Kluyveromyces lactis: one gene and its partner. The protein of the gene in region 2 interacts with the protein of the main gene of each other region in a biochemical or structural test. Links are inferred from orthologs where the notes say so. Each region holds a gene or a part of one and is shown on either strand. Other genes may lie near its edges. The genes, in order: PSY2 and PPH3.

What was found.
Region 1: the proteins of PPH3 (region 2) and PSY2 form a complex in vitro, tested with the Saccharomyces cerevisiae proteins (2 studies listed by BioGRID). The link is inferred for Kluyveromyces lactis from reciprocal best matches to the Saccharomyces cerevisiae genes PPH3 and PSY2.

The regions. Positions count from the first base shown.
Region 1 is NC_006040.1:1,588,729-1,593,019, reverse strand, and holds PSY2 (Psy2p), read right to left. Parts: upstream 2,937-4,291; coding exon 687-2,936; downstream 1-686. Other genes in the region: SPS19 (2,4-dienoyl-CoA reductase (NADPH)), read left to right, coding at 1-392; ubiquinone biosynthesis protein COQ4, read right to left, coding at 3,688-4,291.
Region 2 is NC_006041.1:889,386-892,639, forward strand, and holds PPH3 (phosphoprotein phosphatase PP4 catalytic subunit PPH3), read right to left. Parts: upstream 1,699-3,254; coding exon 772-1,698; downstream 1-771. Other genes in the region: AIM25 (Aim25p), read right to left, coding at 1-241; PEA2 (Pea2p), read left to right, coding at 2,500-3,254. UniProt on the Saccharomyces cerevisiae protein: Forms the histone H2A phosphatase complex in association with the regulatory subunits PSY2 and PSY4, which dephosphorylates H2AS128ph (gamma-H2A) that has been displaced from sites of DNA lesions in the double-stranded DNA break repair process.

The DNA of each region.
Region 1 (4,291 bases), on a different chromosome or scaffold from region 2:
CCACTTTACATTACTATGGCGTTCCATTTCAGTCACATGTAGGTGCTGCCAAAGCCGGTATTGATGCCTTATCAAATGCATTGGCTGTAGAAATGGGACCATTGGGATTAAGGTTCAATTGTGTAGCTCCTGGTGCTATCGCCAACACTGAAGGGTTGGCACGACTCACTAAAAATGATTCGAGCTCAGATCTGTCAGAGATGATTCCATTGCAAAGGCTTGGCACAACAGTTGATATTGCAAACACGACAGTGTTCCTTTTTTCTCCTGCAGCTTCATACATCACCGGAACTATTCACGTCGTCGACGGTGGTGCCTGGCATGTAGGCACACAAATAACGAGAGAGTTTTATCCTAAAGAGTTGAATTATGCTTTTGATTCAAAACTATAAGAACCTTCTCCTTCTGGCTATTAGTTGACTAACGGAGAATCCATTGCACATTGTGATTGGATCATTCAAAATAGTAAATCTGTAACACACAGATCATATAACTCTTATTCTTTTTCTCCCATCTATAACTTCAAAGTCTTGTTTTTCAATTAGAGAATGCAAGATCTGACCTTGAATTGAATATTATCCTAGTTTTTTTAATACTTATCCCTATATAAAACAACAACCTCCTTCTTTTTAACCTTATTATTAATATGCATCTAAATGCATCACATCTTCAGATATATCTGAATGTCATACTTCAACTTCCAGTGTAGTATTATCATTTTCATCAAAGCTAGTTTCCGTTGTTGATAAACTAGCAAGCTTTTGGGTTTCCTCATGATAAATAGCCATCATTTCTCTTGTGAAAGAAACGTAATCTGCCTTCAGTAATATATCACCATATCTACCGCAGATGTACTTATTCAACAGCATGAAATTCCTTGAACTTTTACTACCGGAAAGCGGAATATCTTCCTGCTCAACCACTTTTAATTGAGTGTTTAACGACTTTAAGAAATCTAAAATTGTAGAATTAGCCATATTATCTTCGTTCAAATTTTCCTTAAAAACTTCAAATATTGGATCGAAGAGATTCTTACCAATAAGATATCGAAGATAGAAGTCGTCATTTAAAAATACGATGTTTTTGAAACAACGCACTGCAGCAAGCCTTAATTGAAGGATATAATCGCTTGAAGCAAGTGATATAAGCCTGATCAAAATTCCATTCTCGAGAATAAATCGTCTAGATATTGATGCCTCATGACCTTGAATCATGAGATTGAGAAGTTTCACAAGTTTTATGAGTAACTGTTGATCACATTCATAGAGATTAACAGATCCATCGATGAAGCAATGGAAAAGGGAGGGCGCAACTTGTCTATAGAAACATTGCAAGTACTCAGCTAGCTGAAATTTCTCGTGATTTCGTTCACCGTCTAATCCATCATGATTTTTGCCATTCTGAATTTGAAGCATGTTATCAATTCGTGTGTCGATATTGTCATCATGGTTTTGATAGTCATCTACAATATAGTCTTCAGGATCTAATAAACTTACAAGTGCTTGGAAGGACTGTTCCTTCAATCCCGGACTCTTATCAGTGAGCAGGATCTTGGTCAATATAAGTAAAAGAGACATATCTGTAGAATCAATATCTGAATTCTCGTCATTCAATAAGGTGACTTCGTCACTTTGCACACTTTGGATTAGTTGGATATCGTGTTCAATGAGCCCCACAACTATATCCGTTGCAAGGATTCGAATATCGTTATTAGTTTCCATGTTGAATGCAAATTGGATGACTTGGAACAACCCTTTCTTGATTAAAAATTTGTAGAAAAGGGTTTTTTCTATTGAATTTAGGTTTTGGGAAAGTTGGATGCATTCATGTAATAGTTTTATACCGTCCCTTCTTTTATCTGGGGTGACGGTTGAATCCTCCTCAACTTTATACATCGAGATGACTTGATTAATAAAATTGTTGCTATCCTCCTGTAGGAAATCTATTATGGAATTCTGGTATGACAACATTAGGTCAGATATGAAGGTGAAAGATTGATCATCCAAAAATCTAACTAGAACCACATCTTTCAAAAATTGAAGCCTAAAATTTTGCGTAATCATTAATTTGATCGTTGGATCTGAGATGGGAATCATTTCCTTGAAATTTGGCTCCTTATCTTTCAAATATTGTCTATGGTTAAGTTTTGAGTTTGGAAATTCAGTATCATATTCCAATATACCGCAAACGCATAAAAAGTTTTCATCATTGATCATCTCTTCCAAAATCTCCTTGCTGTTGAACAATATTAGAGTTTTCACAATGTTGCTCAATAATAATAAATTTCGATATAGTTTAGATTCTTCTGACTGATAGAATGATCTGATTAGTGTTGCTAAATAGTGATCGTTGATAACAAATTGAATTGTCTCATTTCGCAGATAATCAAATGACGTGTTTTCGTTTAGAATTTTCAATGCTTCTAAAAGGGATTCTTCTGTCTGGTTTGGTACATTTGAGGGAAGATTGACCGGTCCTGTTATTATCTCATGAACAGACCCGATTCCATCATCTGTCGATCTTACAGCTACCAAAGAGATGCGGCTTTCAATGTTTTTCTGTACAAAGCAAATATATTCACATAAAGAATCGCATCCAATGCTTTCTTCAAAGGATAAAGCTATATCCTGACCATTCAGATCCTTCCAGACAATAAGAGTTTCCTCTTGACGCTGGTATTCGATGTTTTGTTCGAGCCTGGACTTAAGTAAGACCTGGTCATCGGAGTCTTCATCGACCACCAAAAGATACGCCATTTTCTCTGCAGTCTGAGTGTCATCTATAGTACGCTCTTCCACTGTCCCCTGACAAAACCCTGTCCCAGTATCCTTCCACTCGTTATTTTCCAACACATAGACTTTCACGCGTTTCTTCTCAGTGTATACCGACTGTTTGGCACCATCCCCAGAAACATGCATATTGTTAGATTCAGACATATCTTATATTATGCTGATCGAAGCCCTAATAAATGGCAAGATCTCGTAAGCTCTTTCTGCTAATTGTGACCTGACAAAATAGGTTCAAAGTCTTGTAAGCAAAAGTTGCAATGCGTTAACAACCGAGTGAGTCCGAAAGAAAACTTGAATGTTTACACTTCGTCGAAAGCGTCAGTGACTTCTTCCAGTTAAAAAAAAAGGACAAAGAGGATTAAACACAAGCGCTATAAGAGCTTTGAAGTAACAGATTCTTGTATGTTCAATATCAGATTATCCTCCCCTTCCGCTTAAAACCCTCACAAGACACTGCTTCTCTTTTATTATGGGGTGAGATGAGATGCCCTGGTCAGAAGTCTTAAATTGGATAGTTTTTAACTTTGTTCTTTTTTTTCTTCTTCTTGGCCGCTAAACGCAGTGATAAGAAAAAAGAACAGTTTTAAGGCTGCAAAGCACACCGAGGGAAAGAGGACATCGTACTGAAGTTCGATCATAATTGTTTAACATACCGCGTTAGCAAATAAAAGTGTAGGCAGTGGTACTGTACGTAGCAAGGATGTTAGCTATAGATATATTTTTTAATCGATCAAGCAAAGGCGATCTTTTTCCTCTTCAATTGAAGACGTTTATTTCATTACGTACGTATTTCTATTTCTTTTTTCCTGGTTCCTATATCCACAGAATGACCCTGCATTATACTTTACAAAGCAACTTTACGCCAGCCATCACGATTTGGGGATTGAGGGTTTAAAATTCATTTCTCGTAGGTCTCATACTTAAGCTTGAACTGTTTTCTTTGTTTCGCTCTTTCCTTTCTAATTTTTCTCAAATCTGGAGGTGGTGTGACGTTTAATTCTCTTCTTAGTTCGTCTATGTCCTTATCCAAGATTTCTTCCCAATAGACATTGATGAGAGGTTTGCAATTCAGCCCTGCTTTGACTGCCCATGGGAGGTAGATGGAGTAAAGTCTTTCCTTTTGCACTTTCTTTAATCTCAATGGTGCTAATAGAGCACCAAGTGCAGCCATTGGGACACCAATGTTTGATGCCTCAAATGCTTTAACTGCAATCTCACCTTCGATTATGATTGGTAGGTCATTTATTGCATGATAAAAGTCATGGCATTGTCTATATCTCTTAAATATGAAAGCATGGACAGGATCATCGATATAAGTAACTGGTGCCCTTGTGTCTGGAGAGACCCCCTCTTTCATCAACCATTTGTAGTACGTATAGCCAACTGAATTTTTATCCATCTTTGACAATCGTTCCATGTCAAGGCTTTCCGATGTGATGTTTGGTCTGTCTTGTAGAATCCTTCTACCAGTCTTATCTAACAACATTGTCCGTTTTAAACTT
Region 2 (3,254 bases):
TCATTTCGATTTGTCTCTCAATAATGATGGTAGGTTCATTTAAAATGGTAGTTGCAATGGGATCATACTGCTGGATGGTCACATTGTTCATATTTGGCACGCCATTGAAGCCCAAACGAGAAACATCCTTTACCGGAGTTGCCACTCTAGGAAGCCTTCTGAAAGCAGAATACTGACGTACTAGAGCAGCAGGCTGCGAACTGAAAATTCGTCTGGTAAGTGCTAGATTATATCTCCACATGGTGTATGAATATTGCCCGGTCAGCTGTTCCCTTGCATCTAAACGTCTATTTGACTTTTTGTAAGACTCCGTTTAAGGTTGAGATACTTAATTGAAGATCAAATATCAAAATATTACCGTTAAATCCAAAATTGAAGGGAAGGTAAAAGTATCGTCATAAATGTTCTGCTCGAATGGAATACAACCAGAAATTCCATATTACAGTATAATATGTATGCTATCAAATGAATCATATAATTCAATCGTACAATTATTGAAATAGTTTACTGTTACATACCTATTGGGATACTTTTATTGAAATGTGGTATATCACTGTGTTGAATGAGATTAAGAAGAGAGGTAATATTAATACAAAGCAACAACTGTAGGTTGAGCTATGCTGGGAGGATGGTCGGTTGATAATGAGGATCAGGGTGATATACCATGCTGTTAAATAATGCTGAAAGAAAAGAAGACTGAACCAATAACACGGGAATCGGTCAGCAAATCGAGAAGAGAGAGAGAAAAATGCAAATAATAATGGTAATAAGTTACAAGAAGTAGTCCATTTGAGGTTTTTTCGTAGGGAGAATGACATTACCTCCACTATCCCTCGCCTGAACAGCTTCAAAAATGGTGTAATCCTTCGTCATATCGTCATCGATGCGCAGCACAGCAGCCACATTCCCACAACGATAACAGTAGTTTGGTGCTGACCATACCGTGACTAATCCCCCATCGAACATCTCTTTATAACCTTCCATGACCAATTGATGAGCTCTAGCGATTAATTCGACACTATTTGTGTGTAAAAATTTATCTACTTCGTTTTGGCCAAATAGGAAACCTGCACCACGCGGGGAAAGAGACCAAGTATCCACATCCTCTGGATCCGACCACAATAAATCACACATAGCACCTTCATGCGGTACCTCCTTTTTCCTATCGATGGTTCGTATTTCGTTGATTGATAAAACGTCCGGCGATAATCCACCATGAACACAGAAAACCTTGTTGTTTACAATGGCACCCAAGGGCAAATAGTCGAATACTTCGCAACAGTATCTCCATACGTTACTGTTACCATATTTCCTTACCACTTCGTCGTAAAACCCATAAACCTTCGTAATCTGTCTTGTTTCATGATTTCCTCGTATCAACACAATTCTATCTGGATACCTTAATTTATAACATACCAAAAGAAGGAAACTCTCTAACGAATAGAACCCTCTATCCACGAAATCTCCCAAAAAGATGTATCTATTCTTTTCAATGCCTCCACTCTTAGCAAAGAGAGTCAACAAATCATGCAATTGGCCATGAATATCTCCACAAATTGTGACTGGCGTATCCACATGTGTCACGTTAGACTCATTCATAAGAAGTTCTTGAGCCATGACACACAGCGAGTATATCGAATCCTCGTCAACATGTTTCCCCTGCCTTAGAGTCTCTATAATCTCATCGAGTTTCATCATTGACAGATGCTCAGACGACGTTAAAGTTAAAACCAACTGGAAGTATAAAAGATAAAAAAAAGTGATTCCCTGTTCAAGAACTGACGATATTATTCTATAGTGATGAGTTTGGATCAAATCCAACAAAAACCTACCTTAAACTAATCTAACAAAGGTAAACTGAATAGTCATCATTAACAATATAGGCTTAAAAGCTTCTTTACTTTCTTATTTTCCAAAATTCGATGAGATAGACAAAATGCAAGTATCAAGAGAAATAAAAGTATCAAGTATCAAAAGAGGTAACAACAATTACATTTTTCGGTTAGCCTGAAAAGTCAACTTGTCGGTCTGCGCTTTCCGGTATGTCTACAGTATATAGCGTAGTGTGGAATGCTTGCCTGTGTTGTATATGGGAATTGTTCAGAATCTTGCTTCTTCTTCTTCTTCTCCTTCCATTGTTTCTTTTTTTTTGCCTGTACTCTTTTTTCACGTTTCTTTTTATCAGTTTGCTTCCTTTTTTGTGTTTCGGCCACAAAAACGATAATTTAACGTGACATGCGGGTAATGAGGTGTGCTTATGTAAGCCTTCGGAAGATGACACCCAGACATCGGAATGGCGGTATTCGTGCGTGGTGATGTCAAATATCACGTGGTTGATAATGTGCTTGTATTACCCGGAAACTGCATGTATGTCCCGTGCGTGGTAATTGAGAAAGGCATTGATCGGAATCAACGCGTCTGGATAGATGAACGGAATGTTAAAATGTAAGTTGCTACCAAACCAAGCTAGATACTGATCGCAGCTAGCCCCTTGATAGAATGCTTCGTAATAACCTGGACCAATGGTACGAGTACAATACCTCTTTTGTAGAGAAATTGCATGGGAAGTACCCCAATGAACAGTTGAATGAATATTTGCAAACTACGAGTACGAATTCCCTGATATCCAATAGACAAAATTCGGAGTGGGATGAGCTTCCAATGGATTTGGATTCCCAATTGAAATTGGAATTTGCATTGTACTTGATTAATGAATCTGCTAACGGTTCTCTAAGTACTAAGGGAACTACTTTCTTACAAAAGCTTGGCTCGGTAGACGTTGACACGTTGAAAGAATTAGTCCAATTGGTACTAGAGAATGATAAATCTTTAGCCAATAAAAGCACTGATGAGGATGAGGGGAAAGTGGAACAGATCACCTCCTACCTGATCTCTAGCTCCATTTCTAAAGGTATCAATTTGGCATCAATAGACAATTCTTCCAACGAGGAGGGTGTACATGATCCAATCTCATTTTGTAAGAAAAACATCGACATCCTGTTGGATGCATACCCACAGAATTCAAGCAGTTCTTTGCAACACGCGCCCCTTTCTACCTCAGAATTGGAACTTAACGATATCTCAAAACAACAGGACCTACAAACGGCTATCACGGATTTACAACTTGCATACAAGTTCTTGAAATCGAAATATGAAAATGATAGAGATGAATACCAGGCGACTATAGAAACTCTGAACAAGACTAACAAAGAGCTTTCTGAAGAGCTCTTACACTATCATAGTAAGTTGAAGGA